Linked DNA regions of Tamandua tetradactyla. The main gene of each other region encodes a partner of the protein of the gene in region 2 in a complex. Links are inferred from orthologs where the notes say so. Each region holds a gene or a part of one and is shown on either strand. Other genes may lie near its edges.

Region 1 (7,648 bases), on a different chromosome or scaffold from region 2:
AGACCCCTGAGAGGGCGGGCATGGGAGGCTGCCGGGCTGGGAGGAGTGTATGTGTACGTGTGGGGGACGGTGATCACTCACAGTCACAGAGAGCGAGGTTTCTCCCCAGCAACTGGCCCTGGGCCAAACAGCAAGTGGTCCACAGCCTGGGGCAGGAGAGGGCCAGCAAGGGGCCCAGAGTCCCACTCTGGGGGCAATGCCCTTCCTCTCCTCTCACTCAGCTTAGGCTTCCTCCCTTATATCCTCCCATGCCACCACTCCTCAGCCTGCCTGGGGATACCCCCAAAGGGGGCGGGAAAAGTCAGACAGCCAGTCCTTGAGGCTACCCCAGGATTCAAGTAGAGGGGGAGGAGGAGAGAGAGCTGGGCTGAGGGAGGGGCTGGGACAGCTGCTGTCCCCTCCAGCCCCTCCCTCGGCTGTTGGCCCAAAGAGAAGGAATAGCAACTGGGGAACAGCTGCAGGACAGAGCTGCCTCATAGGCCCCTTTGTTTGGAGGGGCTGAGGGGGCAGTGGGGGCCATACGGGGGTGGTAGGCATAGGAAAGGGGACACAGTTTCTCCAACCCAAGCTGAATACCCCCTCCTTCAGGTGGACGTCCCAGCTCCCAGCTCCCACCCCAGGCCTTGACTTCCCTTCTAGAAAGGGAAATAGTGTGTCTTTCTGGCCTCCCACCAATGTGCTCAGATGCTCAATTTTAGTCTGAGACAATGTCTCCTCATTCCACCACTAAAGGGGACAGCGGGAACTAGAGGAGGCAGGAGGCTCCCACCGGATGGGTAGCCCTTTACATCAGCTCGGAGTCGTCTGAACCCCCTCCCCTCCAGCCTCAGCCTCTCTGCAGCTGAACTGCTGACAGTTTATCTCATCAGCGCGAGGACGCCACTTGGCCGGAACAGGGAACAGCTCCCCTTCCTCTCAGTGGGAACCGAGGGAGAGTCTCTCCCACCCCCAAACCAGCTTTTGCTCCTTCCTCCTCTACTCTGAGCCCGCCCCTGCACAGTCGAGCCAAGGGGGCTGGAGCCAGTAACCATCAAGGGGGAGGGGAGAGGTGTGCTCTGAAAGGATGAGGCCTAGAGATGGGCAGTGGGCTGTCCCTGCAGCCCCCAGAGAGGAGGGGAAGTCTGAGCAGTTTCCTTTAATATCTCCTCTAATAGCCTCGAGCTGTCCCAAAGACCCCACTTGGGACAGTCAGTCTCGCCTTTCCAATCCCAGGGTACAGGGGGTCTCCTTACCCCCACCCCCATTCACATAGCCCTCAGCCCCACTACAGACACCAGCACCTCCTCCCCCACCCCCTGCCCTCAAGTTTGTCCTTCTGGAAAGCTCAGAGACATCTGCTGTGTCACGGAGGCAGGGCTATTTCCAGGCCAGAGCAGGCGGGTGGGGTGGGAGGTAGAGGGGGGAGCACTGGGGTAGGAGGGGGTAAGGTGGAGGGAGGGGCCTAGCAGGGCAAAGGGCCCTAAACTGACCTCAGCTGCTAATTCAGGAGACCTAGAGATGGCCCTGAGGGGGAGAGGGGGGTGGGCATTCAATGATCTGGGTATATCTCTTGGAGCAGCGAGATGGGGGGCGGGGAGGCTCTAGGTTACCTGGCCCTACGTGAAACTCCCCTCATGAGGTCCCGGGGTGTATCCCCACAAGGGGCCCGTTCATGTAAATCAACGCAGAACTCTTCAGACCTCACCACAGGGGTGAGAGGTCTTCCCCAGGCCTGGAAGCCCGCTTGGATGGCTGCAGGGTTGTGAGGGGAGAGGATACTTCTTGCCACTCAAAGCCCATCCTTGGCTTCTTCTCAGCTGTAAAGCCTAGAGTGCCTCCCCACCCCCACACAGCACTGACACACCTTCCAAATCTGGTTACACTCAATGACTTCCTCCCTTCTACAGGCTTTGTCCTCCCTCCCCTCAGTCCAGACCTTTAGCTGCAGCCAATCCCGGGCTGAGGGGGAGGGCTGGGGCAGGGCCTGCAGGGGTGGGAGCCCCCCTCCCCAGCAGACAGAAGCAGGAGGACAGGCAGGGGTTAAGGCTCCCTGCGCTCACTCAGTGCCTTTTTAGGTTTCTGAGGCAGGGCCCTGCCTGCCTTGGCCCCCCAGCCTGAGCCCAGCTGCTGAGCACATGCCTGCCCTGGGCCTCGGCGGGAGCGGCGGGGCCACCAGCTCGCCTTCAGCCTAGAGCCGGGGAAGCTGGGCATTGGTTGGGACCTGCCCTCATGCCCATCTCCCCAGGCGCAGGTGCTGGGAAGCTGGGAAGCTGTGTGCTTTGTTTGGGGGCAGATGCCCCCAGGAATCCGCAATAGGCACTAGCCCTGTCCTTTCAAACCAGGGGCCAGGGTCCTGCCGCGGAAGAAAAGTGGACTAGGAGGGGAGGCGGAATGGCTGGAGCGGGTGTGGGGAAGCTGAAGCTGGAATGGTTAGGTCTGAACTCGCCTGGGTGCCCCGGGTCCTGAGAGGGGTGTGAAGGCAGAGCCCGGGCGAGTCCCGACGGTGCCACGGAGCTCCCCGCGCGCCCACCCAGCACCTGTGCCCCGCTGCCACGCACGGGCCGGCCCTCAGGGCACCGCTCCCCTCCCCTCCAGCTCCCCCCACCCGCCCCCCGTGCCCGAGCCCTCGGCGCCAGCACTGACCGATGGACACGAGCTTGATGTGTTCGCGCTCCAGGAACTCGAGGGCCACGGACACGTTCTCCAGCTTCATCTGGCGGAAGTTGGGGCGCGGGTGGAACTTGCGGTACATGCGCTTCTGGCTGAGCACCTCGAGCAGCGCGATGAGGCGCAGCCCGTCGCTGAGGTCGCGCTGCAGGTCGGTCAGGCGCTTGCCCACGCACTTGAGGTGCTCGTTGCACCAGCGCGTGAACGTGTTCTGCTGAATCTTCTTCCACGGCGCGTCCTCCGCCAGGTCCTTCTCCGTGGACGGCATCTCGTCCACCTCGTCGCCCAGACCGAGGCCCGAGGCCTCCGTGTAGCCGCTGTTGTTCATCATGCTGGCGCGGGCCGGGGCAGGGGCTGCGCTGCGTGTCTGGTCGGGGTCCGCGGCGGGGTCGGGGCGGCCCGGGGGGTGCTGTCGGGCGCTGTCGGGGCGCGACCGCGGGGCTCGCCGCTCGGCACTGCGCTGCTCTCCAACTGCTCTGGCGCCCCTGGCTGGCGGGGCTCGGCGGGCTTCCTCGGCTCTTCGGCCTCTCTCTGTCTCTGTCTGTCTGTCTCTCTCTCTCTCTCTCTCTCGCTCTCTCTCTCTCTCTCTCTCCGTCCGGGGGCGGAGCGGTGCTCGGGAAGTGCGGGCCGGGCCGGGGCGGGGGGTTTAAGAAGCCCCCGGGCCGCGGCCCCCCTGTCTCGCCCGCGGCCCCCGGGTCCACGTCAGAGCGCCGGCCTCCCAGGAATGCCGCCCGGCCCGCGGGTGGGGGCCACGCGGAGCGGAACGGCCCCGCCTCCCCGTCCCCTCCTTCCCCTCCCCTCCCCCACGCGGCCCGGGCGGCGGGAGGGGAGCTGGGGCCTCCCGCCCCTCCCCCACACCGGCCCGAGTCTGCGGACCAGGGGGGCTGGGGTCCCCGAGGAGCCGCCGCCCTGGGGAGGTGGATAGCGGCCCTCGAAGGTGGAAGAGAATGAGGGCGAAAGTTACCCATCCTCACCCAACACCCCTAAACTAAGCCTTGTCAGTCAGAGATGAAATGTGCTCCACTGCAGAGGAGCTCAAGAGATAAATGGGGAAACTGAGGCCAGTGGTTAGAGTGAAACATACACACACACACACACACACACACACACACACACACACACACACACACACGGATGTCGTGTTAGAATTTCTGGATGAGTTGGTGGAAGTGCTGTTGACCGGACCTGGGAGTCCTGGCTTCTAGCCCAGTGTATTGTCCACCTGTGGATAGGGAAGGGAAGTCTGTGAGCTTGTGTAGACCTGGACAGAGAGGAAGCAAGGACACTGCCCAGGCCACTTAGGAAGAAGGCTTGGGGATGGTGGACTCCGCGGCAGGGGGTGGGGGGCACCTCCCTCATTGCTCCACTTTACAGGTAGAAAGGCCTCATTTGGGACCCAAACCCAGAGGCAAAGACTGAGGCTGCTGCCCCTGACTCAGTGCCCCTGCTGCCAGCCCCATCTGGCCTCATCCCCTCAGAATGAAGCTGAGCTCAGGAAAAAGGTACCCAGTGAGTTACACTGTGCCACCCCCACCCCCACTCCGCCCCAGCTCAAGTCTGACTCAACCAAGGTGATGAGTGGGGAGAGAGAGACTGCCTCTTTAGTGCCAGAGAGCCCCCTGGGCAATGTGCCCATTTTGGCCACAAGGCAGATCACTCTAGGGAGAAGGCGGATTACTGACAGAAACAGGGAGAGCCCTGCCCAGAGCAGCCAAGGGGGAACGTGACTGAGGCAGGTGGGCAGCGGTAGAGTGGTCAGGGAGAGCCCGAGGGAGCCAGCCAGGACGTGCTAGGCAGGGCTAGGCTTGGGGTAAGCCAAGGATGGCTGGAGGCCTGGGGAGTGGTGAGGGTAGGGAAACTGAGGCATCCACACAGAGGAGCTGACCTGAGATGAAAAAAAAAGAGCTATAGGATATATTTTTATAAAGAGAATATATATTCTGCGATTTTGTAGCATACATGTATTCCATACCTCCTGGTCTGCCTTTTATGGCCATCCTTCCTCAGCTTTCCCATCCCTCCTGGACCCAGTAAGTTTGGGGTAGTGAATTGGTGAGAGGTTCTGGAAGAAGTAGGCAAACCCTCACTTCATCAACAGGAAACTGAGTGGGTAGGAGACCGTGTCTGAGCCTGAGAAGTGTCTTGTATGTGATACAAGCCATGTATGTGATAACAACTGAGAAGGTTTAAGAAGGTTCTGGGACCTTATAAATGACTAATTCTACCTTTTGCCTCTCTTTTCCCCAGGCTGGGTGAAAAAGAACGAGCTTGTGGTTATCTTTGGGGCTCTCTTCCCAAGAGCAGAATGAGGGCACTCTTCATTAAAGAGCTGAGGGAGAAGTTTGGGGGTTTAATGGGGGCAGTGCTTATAGTGAAAGGGGTCATGAGTGATTTCTGTTCGTTCTCATTAAATGAGGTTGCTTGGTTGCCTGAGTAGGGAGGGGGGAGGAGTAGAGAAGGGCCCAGAAACAGAAAAGGGCCAGGCTGTGTGTGGCTGGGGTGGGGGGGCAGGCTATGGGGGCCCTGATAGTGACAGGCGAGGTATAAATAGCGTGGGCCCTGCAGCTCATGTTCTGTCGGCTGCCTGTGACAAGGTGCTCAGGAATTCTACTCTCCTGCTGGCAAACCCCTTTCTCCCCATCTCCAGTGCTCTCATTACCCACAAGCAACCTTCATCCCGTGGCCCAAAGCACCCATCAGGCACCAGTGCTGCCCATCTACCTGAGAGGCTGAGCTCTCCTGTGGAGAGATTCCCAGTTCCTGGGGGAACATAGCTGGGTCTCACCAAGGAACTGTGTGCCAGTGTGTGCGTGTGTGTGTGCGTGTGTGTGTGCGTGTAAGGGCAGACTTCTGGCACCCAACTCTGAGGTGCCAGGAGCTTAGGGTTCAATGATGTTGTCTTGAAGCTTTGGTGGAGAAACCGATGTACAACTCTGATAAAGGCTGGATTCCCTTGTTGAGCGCAAGGGATAAGCTGGAGTTGCTTGAAGCTGACAGCCTCTTTATAAACCCTAACGGCTCCTATTCCTGTTTTGTGGGCATTCCTTGATGTTCCTGAGTCATTTGGGGGCCAGTGTTGACAGGGGAGAGTTCAGACTGATGCCCACAAGTGGAGAGATAACTCTCAAGGATAGCCCCCCATGCCTCCCCTGGCTCTCCCCCTTTGACTCATTGTCTCATTCCAGTAGAGAGCAGTGTGTCTGCCCCAGGGGAGTGAGAGGAGGGTACAGAGTGCCCATGGATGGTTCCCGTCACCCCCCCATCCCCCGAGAAACCTGAGCCTGTTGCTCTCCAGGATAAATCGGGGCCTGACTCAGGCTCCAGCCAGCCAGTCACAGTCAGCCTGACCCTGGCGCAGGCTGGTGACTCAGCCCCCGATATAGCCCATGAGCCCAGGCCCCAGGCCCAGCCACATGGGCCGGAACAGACCGTGCACAATGTTGGTCCTATAGCCTGCCAATTGGGCTCCTCTCCCCAAGGAAGGCTGATAGGTTCCTCCCTGAGCCAGGCAGGGGCACCCAGAGGGGCTTACAGGGGGTTTTGTCAGCTGAATATTTGGGGCTGCATTGGTTGGAGCCATGGGCATTTATAAGCCTGACTCACCACCACCCGCTTGTCTCAGGAGACCAGGCTACCCGGTCTTTCACCTGACCCTGCCTCTGCCATCAAGGGGACTGCTTGTCAGCCACTGACACTGGCCTCATTTAACTCGGACTGAGCAGAATCTGAGTAAGTGGGTGCAATGGGCCATGTTTGAAAATCCTGCTGTTCTGGAGCCGTGGTCATTTCCACAATCACCTGTGACGATACCAGGCTGGTATCACAGCAGACACCCAGAGCAGGCACTCTGACCAAGCCACACTACTGATTATGGTGCTGACCCAGGTGCCAGGGACAATGGAAGAGTGGAAAGATCCACAGGCTGAATTCCAGCCTCTCTACTTCTGGCTCTGTGACCTTGGGAGGTAATGTAACTTTTTGTGACCTTTGTTTTCTCATTTGTAAAGTGGAATTAGTCACACTTTCATCTGATTTTTTAAGATGTGAAGATGAAAGGAGATAACTGTAAAATGATTGGCTTGGTGCCTGTCAGTTTGCTTCGTCTGCTGGTATCTCGGGGATGGAGTGAGCCAGGTTCTTCCTCACAGTCTGTCTTTCCACCCCTGTAGAGACCATTGTCAGGATCTCTACACTGGTCCCTCCCTCTCTTACCTAGTAAATCTACTTCCTAACCTTCCACCTGCCAGAATCATAACTGGCAGCGCTTCTGTCTTTGGAAGGGTGCACGCTGACCGAGGGCAGCAGGTCCTTGAGAGGGGTGACAGCTGGCATGGTCGTCTTGGGAAGGGAAAGCAGAGGGGACTGGTCTGCAGGGAGGAAGCGGTTATGCAGAGGGCGGCAGAGGAGAGATAGAGGCTCCCAAGCCTTGGTACCACCTGTACCTGAGGCCTGGCTACATACCTGCCCATGGATTCCAGGAGACACCCTTGTAGACTTAAAATCAATTCCCCCCCCCCCTTTTTTTCTTAGGCTAGCTGGAGGGAATGTTTCACCCACAACAGAGACCTGTTTAATATACTTTGGTAACAATATATCAATAAGACCAGGAGACATCAAGTTCAAACCAGATGAAGAGGATGAGGTTCCACAATAAGCCCAGAGAGGCTTACACTCACATAAAGGCAAGTATCCTAAAGGGAAGAGTTCTGTTTTCTAAGCCAAAAGACATGGGGAAACCTAGGACCACGTCCCCATCGACACCCAGGCTCCTTGTTCAGGCTGGGAAGGACCCGATAATGTCCTGTCTGGAGGTTAACTGCCTGCCAGACCCTGGCCTCCATCTTGGCTTCTAATTCCAAGTCTAAGTAAGTGACTAAGCAGCTACAGGAATCTTCTAGTAATTTTCACTGTGTATGTTCTGCAGCCAACTGGTGGCTGGAGTAAAGCAGACAGAACGCAGGGTCTCCCGCCACTCAACAGTGAGTGAGTGTAATGACACCAG
Region 2 (7,847 bases):
CTCACTAGACCTCTCTGGGCCTTCTTTTTCTTTTTCATAAAATGAGAATGAGGGCTCTCTTGAGGGAGGCCAAGAATAAAAAGGAGAATGGGTGCTCAAGCTCTGAGGCGCAAAGGCTGCCTGGTCATTCAGCCCCCCAAGAGGAGGAGCGGACCTAACTTACACCATTATCAAGAACAGGAATGGGGCGCTGCCCCCACCTCTTTCCGGGGTCCTCAGAACTAGGCCGGCCGCCACGATCACACCCCCCCCCAGCCAACACACCCCGGGGACCCCCCAGTCCCACGACTACCCAGCCCCGACCGGGCTGTAAGGCCCAGAGAGGGGCAGCTCGGGGGCCCCTCCTTTCCCTCGCCGGAGCCTGGCTGCCGAGGGGGGCCCGGAGCTCCGGAAAGCCCGGCGGCCTCCCGCAGGCAGCGGGACAGGGCGGCGGGCCCCGGACTTTAATCCGATCCATGTGCGGGACGCCGCCTCCTTTGTGCGGGCGCTTCCGCCCTGCGCGCCCCTTCCCCCGGCGCCCGCTCTCCCGGGGAGGGCCACGACCCTCCCGCCACTGAGCCCTCCCCCCAGACCTGCCCCCCCGGACTCCGGGGACAGAACGCAGGGCAGGCACCCTCCCCCCCAGCCCCCCCAGCCCCCCCCAGCGTCCCGCGGGGCCCCTCCAGGATCGTCGAGGTGGGGTCTCGGCTGGGGTGGGGCTCCGGCCGGGGCTGCCCGCGCTGTCACCTAAGGGTCGCCGGGCGGGGACGGCAGGACAGCCTTCCCAGCGCTCCGCGCCCCGCTTACCTGGGCCGCCCGCGCCCCCGCGGCTCGGATCCGACGCCCGGGCGAGCAGGACCCGGGAGCAGCGCGGCGCCTCCCGCCCTCCCGCCCCCTCGGCTCCCTCCGCCCCGCCGCCCCGCGCCGCGTTACCATAAAAGGTGAAGCTGGGGGGAGGGGGCTCCGGGATGCCCGTGGGGCAAAAGCGGCCCTTACCTGCCCCCCACCCCCACCTGCCCCGCCGCGCCCCGCGCCGCCCTCCCCCTCCTTTTGTTCTCGGACCGCTCCTCTCCCCTCCGCCAGGCCCGGGGCTGGGAGCCTCCCCCGCTGGCCAACTCCCCGCCCCCCACCCCGCGTCCTTTGTGCAACTTGAGGGGACGTTATCCCACCCCACCCCCAGGTCACCTGGGTTTGCGGCCCCACCTGCTCTTCCTGGTGGAGGGTCCAACACCCATGGTTTGGCCTGGGGTCTCCCAGGTTCCTAGGCGTCAAGGGACCCTGGGCAGTCACTCTGCTTCCCTGAGCCTCAGCTTCCTCATCTGTAAAACGGGGATAGTGGTGCCTAAGTCTCTAGGTTGGCCTGAGGATAAAAGGGTGTGTGGACAGCCTGGATCACTGTCAGAGCTTAATACACGCTGGGTTCTTTTTCAGGGTGTCCCTGGGTGGGGGTCTCAGAGACACCCAGTAGAGCAGGTCACCTCGCTTGACTGTTCAGTGTGGTCCCTGCCTGTCTTAGGGACCATAAGCCTTGGCATATGGCCTGGGAGACTGACCCCTCCAGGAGTACCATGTGCAACTCGGTGGCCCAGGCCCCAGAGGCAGGGCCAGCTGGCCATCAGGATACCTGGCTGCCCACCCCCTACCCCCGGGCTCTGTTGCTGACCCCTCCCCTCCTGTCCCCTGGATTTGCTCCCCTCCCACTCAGGCTGGCAGAGGTTGGACCTGGAGCAGGGAGGGGATAGCAGAGCCTGAGCTCTGGGCCCAGGATGGAGCTGGGATGGGCCTCCCGAGTCCCTGGAGGCCTCAGGCCTCAGAACAGCGCTGGGGAAAGGAATCTGGGTCTGATTCAGAGGCACACAGATTGTTCCTTTGATTAAAGCCTCCGTGGCTGAGGCCAGGGAAGCGCTGGAGGCAGGGCCATCTGGCTCTGGCTCTCCCCTGCGGGCCCCACAGCGACAGTTACCACCGCCAGGATGGCTCTGGGGGTCTGAGAGGCCCACATCCGTGGGAAGGGGCTGCCTGGAGCCCCTGTCCCACACTCCTCCTCCTCGCACCTCCCTAAACTGCTCACCCGACTGCCACCCCGCCCTCCGCCCTTTTTTTTCATTCGATCCGTACAGCTCTGCAAGAGCGACAAGCAGCGAGGGCCACAGCTGCCCTTTACGGGGGCTTCCTCTGACTGGCACCTCACCCGCACAACCTGCTTAGGTTTAATCCCCACAAGAGCCCTGGGCGGGAGGGCCCATTACTCCTGCTTCACAGACATGGAAACTGAGGCTTTGAGAACCTTGAGGTTACCCCAGGGGCAAGGGGCAGGGCTGGGATTCAAACCCTGAGCAGTGGTGCCCCTGGGTGCATGGCTCTGCTCCTGCAGGAGTGGGGACGGCCCTGCAGTGTGGACTCTGAGGCTCAGGGAGGTGGTGAGATGGCGCAAGGCCCCAGGTCAGGTGCACCCCCTGCTCGGCGACCTGCCTCCGCTCTGCAGTCCTGTCTGGGGTGAGACTTCCCTGTGCCCTCCTCACAGGATGGAGGGAGTGGAGGGAGCTGCCAAAGCCGGAGATGGGAAGGACCTTAGGGGAAAGGGCCCAATCCAGGGGGCTGCAGCCGTACAACTACATTTTCAAGTGATTCCTGACCCTGAAGCTCGTTCACAACAGATGAAAACGGTATCGTCCTCCCCCAACCCTGCAGTACCCACTGAGCCCCCTCGCTGTCTGCAGCAGCCCCCCTCCCCAGGTGGAACAGTGAGGCACAGAGGGAGGGGTTGGTGGCCTTGTCCAAGGTCACAGGACTCAGTGTAGGACCCCAGCCTCCCACCTCTGCTCCCGGCTGACACTGGCTTGGGAGGCTCTAGGGGCTGCCAGGGCCCAGCCACCACCACTCACCTGCCATCTAGCAGCCCTGGCCGTCCAGCCTGCTCTGCTGATGCTCCCCGGCCCAAGACAAGAAGCGCGTCCTGGCCAAGGGGCTCCAGGGCAGCCCGGGTGTCAATGTCACCGTTCGGCCGGTGCCAAACTTCCTGCAATGGGAACCCAGGAAGTGCAGTGGATGAGAACACACGCCCTTTGTCTGCCAGCTCAGAGGTCCTGCTCCCTCCTCCCGCCCTGCCAGGCTCAGACCAGCTCACTTCCCTCCTCAGAGGGCTCCGGGGACAGGTGAGAGGACTCCATCTCCTATTTGAGTGGTGACAGCCGAGACCCCTGGTGGCCAGGAAGGGGTGCGAGAGAGATTTTGGGATAAGATTCCGGGTGGTGGGGATGTTTGCTGCTGCCCAGCCTGGCACCACCTGCCCTTAGTGGGCGAGGGGCTTTGAGCCAACAAACCTTCACAAGACAGTGCAGAGCTCCAGCCTCCAGCAAATGAATGCAATGACTACCTAGAGCAAAATGTGCTAGGAAGGGGGTGGGGAGCTGGGACAGAGGACAGGGCTGGGGGCAGATCCTCTCAAAGGAGGTGACATTTAAGCTGAGATGAGGAGGAGCCAGTCACAAGAAGAATGGAAGAGCTCATTCCTGGGAGAGAGAGGCAGTGGGGAAAACCTGGGCAAGTTACTTCCCCTCCCTGAGTTCATTTCTTCACCTGTAATGCAGTGGAGCTGGCCTGGCTACTCATGAGCAGAGACACAAGTGCTTCCCTTTGCAGACCTGTTGGGGACAACGGCACAGAAAGGGCCCACCTGGGGCTGACCCGTCGTGGATGCCTTGAAACTGTAGCAGTTGTTATTTCTACTCGCTCTGGCCTGGTTTCCAGGGCTCTCTGCTCACACCGCCCGCCACACCCTCTCCAGCTAGAACGCAGACCTGGGACCTGGGACCTGGGGCGAGCTGGATGAAGGGGTCCTCCAGCCCCGGGTCACATGACTTTCCTCCTAGGCATCCTGAGGAAGTGAGTTCCTTTCCTCTTTCCACCATAAAGACGTCAGAAGTTTCAGGATGTTACAGTAAGGTGGGCAGACAGCTGAAGGTGAGGCAGAGGCTGGATCCACTGAGGACCTACGGGACATTTATGGTCCCTGCCAGCCCAGTTTCACTCTCCCTGCTTTTGGGGACAGCTTCCAATTTCTATTTGGGGACCCCCCACCCCACTTTCTGTCCCTGGGGTTCGGGTGGGATTGCTGCAACCCCCCTGGCTCTGGATCTGGACTGTTGTTTCTGAAATGAACACCAGACCCAATCTCAGCTGTGGGCCTGTGGCTGCAACTGTTTGGGAAGAGGTAGAGTCCTCCAGTTGGGCTCTTTAACGGGAAGGATGCAAGCTTGGTACCAACCTGCCACCATCTGGACCAACGCAAAGGACAGCAGAGCCAAGAGAAAAGGAGAAAGAACTGACTTCATCCTTTAGGTTGCTGGATCCAGCTATGCCTGACGTCCTACCTCTGTACTTTTCAATGAGATGACTGCACTTTTCAATTACATGACTCAGTTTTTGCTTTTTCTTAAACCAGTTAAATACAGAGCTGTGATTAATCTTGGCAAGACTTCATGGGACAGGATCATTTCCCCCTTTTAGAAAACTCTGTCCCAGTGTTGTCACTTTTGAGGAGACATCCTGACTCCTCCAGGAAAGTGAAAGAGTTGAACACTCCCATGGGTACATCAGCCACTGCTGGTTGCAATGCTAAGCTTTCCTTACCAGACTGAGAGCAACGACACTTGTTGTTGTTGTTTTATTGAGATATAGCCACACATCATACAAACCATCCAAAGTATACAATCATTGGCTCACGGTATCATCACATAGTTGTGTATACAACCCCCATGATCAATTTTAGAAGATTTTCATTACTCCAGAAAAGAAATAAAAAGGGAAACCCAAATTCTCTCATATCCCTTATCCACCCCACCCCCCATTATTGAGCCATGGTGTCGGTGTAGTACATTTGTTACTGCTGATGAAAGAGAATTAAAACATTACTGTCAACTATAGTCCACAGTTTGCAACAGGTACATTTTTTTCCCCCATAAACCTCTCTATTATTAGCTCCTTGTAATGGTGCTACACATTTGTTCTGGTTCATGAAAGAACTTTTTTATATTTGTACAGTTAATCATCGACATTGTCCACCAGAAATTCACTGTGCTATACATTGCCATGTCTTAACCTCCAGTTTTCCTTCTGGTGACATACATGACCCTAAACTTCCCCATTCAGCACTGTTAATTATCCTCATGAGAACAGGGCAGTGTCCTTTCACTCTCTGCGTCCCCAGCACCTGGAGTTGTGCTTGGCACACAGTAGGGACTCAATGATCCCTACAGAAGAAAGGATTATGGGGTCTGGAGGAGCTGTACGCAAATTGTATCAGAAGCAGTAAGAGGTAGTGATCAGGTTAAGAGTTTGGAATTTAAAGTCAGACACATAAATTTAGATCTTGGCTCCCTCGTTTAAGCACATCACTTAATCTTTCTGTATCTTGGGTTTTGTCCTTCTGGGGAGATAGAGGAAACAACAATCAACACCTCGCAGCTGTCCTGAGCACTGGGAGAGAGAGTGTAAAAAAAAAAATACACAGCACAGGGTTATAATTCCTCCATAAAGAGTTGCCATATTAGCAACTCCTCCCAAATGAAAGGCAAGTTTGCTCATCCTTCTCTGCACAGGGAGTAGCCAGGTGGACAAGGTGGGGGCGTCCGGGGAGCCAGGGGACAGGTAACAGAAGGGCCTGACCTCTTCCCGCCCCTCTTCCCCTGGGATTGGCTCCTGCTTCTTCAGCCCTGGCCGGGCCCTCCTTCCTGCCCTCCCCAGACCCAGACGTGGCCTTTGACCCTGGACACTTCTCATCAGAAGGCGTGGCCCAGACTGAGATGTAGTTCCTTCTGGGGGCAGTAGAGGGCGTCGTCAGGCCTGGGCTAAGTGCCCTACATCTGTCATCTTGTTCAATCCTCACAACAGATGGGGAAACTGAGGCACAGTGAGTGACTTGCCCATTAGTCCCTGATGGGCCTCATTCAAGCCCAGGGAGGCTAGGCCCAGGCCCTTTTACCAAACTGGCCAAGTGGGTAGAGAAAAGCTGTTCAGAAGCCACAGGGTTCCCCAACGTGGCCACGGTTACACCCAAGGAGCCCCCCACTCTCAGGCCCCAAGCCTGTGTCCCTCCTGCTCCACCCAGGCCGGCCCAGCCCCCCAGCGCCTGGCTGTGACAGCCATACCCGGGCCTCTGCACCCTCCCAGTACAGGAGCCTGAGCTGACCCAGGGCCAGGCCATCCACGCTGTGAAGCAGCACAGACTCCTGAACGAGGGGGCGTAAGACCCAGCAGGCTGGGAGGCCGCCTCCTCGCCCAGGCCTTGCCAGTTTGAGCCCCTCTGTGGGCAGAGAAGAGGATATAATGGTGCTACTCACTTTGGAGGGTCCCTGAGTCTGCCCCAACTCTGACTCTCACTGGTTCCTTCCCTGTCCCCGGCCCCCCAGCCCCCCGGCCCCACTGGCAGGCTTCATTCCTGGCAGCTTCCATCCCAACATGCCCTTGGCAACATCTACCCCAATTCCGAGACCCCTTCCTTACTAAAGCCTAATGTGGCCCAGACCTGCCGCAGCCACTAACTGGCCTCCTGGCTTCCCTCTCACCCCGTGGTGGGCTTACTTCTCACCCCAGGAAGTTAATGAAGCTGACACTCAGGCAAGAGCCACCAGGAGGACTGGAAGTTGCTGGGAGTTATGGAGTGTTCTAGAAGGGGAGGAAAGCCAGGTTCATACAGGAAACGCCTCCATTCAACACTCCTAGCAAGTTGCCTAGAGAGACGTCAGAACAAGGGGCTCAAATCTCTACAGCACCAGTAAATTGTGCTTTCCCTTCTCACTCCAAATTTTGTGTCCTTCTTCCAAAGCGGGGGGTGAGGGGGCCTTTAGAATTGGATTTGCCCCTACGCTTCCCCCTTGCAATTCATTCCCACACGGGGCTGCACAATCCCTCCAAAGGAACCCCTGATCCGCTGACCCCTGCTCACAGCCCTTCCCCGGCTCCTGAGTGGCCCCAGCCCCTTTTGGGGCTGTATCTCCTGCCACTGTGTTGACCCTTGCTCGGTTTCTCAGCTACATCCACCCTTGCTCGGTTTCCCTCATTGACACTGAGGACATGCCTCCCAAGCCTTCTTCAGAGAAGCCAACCTGAACCCCAGGCCACATCACTCTACCTTATGGCACCTGGTCCTTACACCCCAACCCTGCCCGCTAATGTACCTGCCGAAGGAACCTGCTCCCCTCTCTTGGAGCCCCCCCTCCCTACCCACCCCCGTCTCACACCCCCTGCCTTATTTGGCCAGGTGTTCAGGCCAAAAATCTAGCAGCCACTGGGCTTCCCCTCTCTCAAACCTACTCTAAATCCTCAACCCCATCTACAAAAGATGTCCTTTATCCAGCTGCTGCTGGTTGCCTGCACCGCTGCTACCTTGGCTCCAGCCTCCATCATCTCTCACAGGATTGTTGCACATGCTTCCAAACTGGTGTCCCTTTTTCTAGACTGTCTAGTCTAAAAACGGCAAAAAGAGGAATGCTTTAAAATGGGTCAAATTAGGTCCCTTCCCGGTGCGGAACCCTCCGTTGGCTTAGAGCGCAGGACAGAGTCCTAACCCCTCGCGACGGCCCCGCGCGCTCTGCTCCTCGCCCACCCCAGTGACCTCATCCCCTGCCCCTTCCCCTCCTCCAGGATGCTCCAGTCACAAGAAATTTCCTGCTGTTCCTCAAATAGTCCAAACTTGTTCCCGTCTCAGGGGCTTTGCCCATGTGTTCCTTTCCCTGGCCTGGGATGTCCTCTCAGCTGATTGCCTGGCTTGCTCGTCTCTCCATTCAGGCCTCTACTCAATTGTCCCCACTTCAAGGAAGCCCTCTGTGGAGGCGGCTTCTAAGGTGGCCCACGGTGATGGCCACCAG

Evidence for each region. Proteins that work in one complex are often made in the same cells at the same time.
Region 1: the proteins of FBLIM1 (region 2) and FLNC are in contact, whole or in part, in an NMR structure (PDB 2K9U), measured with the Homo sapiens proteins. The link is inferred for Tamandua tetradactyla from reciprocal best matches to the Homo sapiens genes FBLIM1 and FLNC. Residues at the interface, in NP_001337080.1 of Homo sapiens: Arg8, Val9, Ala10, Ser11, Ser12, Val13, Phe14, Ile15, Thr16, Leu17, Pro19; in NP_001449.3 of Homo sapiens: Thr2339, Ala2344, Gly2345, Gly2346, Leu2347, Ser2348, Ile2349, Ala2350, Val2351, Glu2352, Gly2353, Pro2354, Ser2355, Lys2356, Ile2359, Phe2361, Asp2380, Glu2382, Phe2387.

Annotation. Positions count from the first base shown.
Region 1 is NC_135327.1:170,248,834-170,256,481, reverse strand, and holds the start of FLNC (filamin-C), read right to left. Parts: upstream 3,009-7,648; 5' UTR 2,978-3,008; coding exon 2,623-2,977; intron 1-2,622.
Region 2 is NC_135328.1:210,134,953-210,142,799, forward strand, and holds the start of FBLIM1 (filamin-binding LIM protein 1), read right to left. Parts: upstream 3,011-7,847; 5' UTR 2,865-3,010; exon of another isoform or gene 2,504-2,864; intron 1,299-2,503; 5' UTR 1,183-1,298; intron 871-1,182; exon of another isoform or gene 787-870; intron 1-786. UniProt on the Homo sapiens protein: Serves as an anchoring site for cell-ECM adhesion proteins and filamin-containing actin filaments. Is implicated in cell shape modulation (spreading) and motility.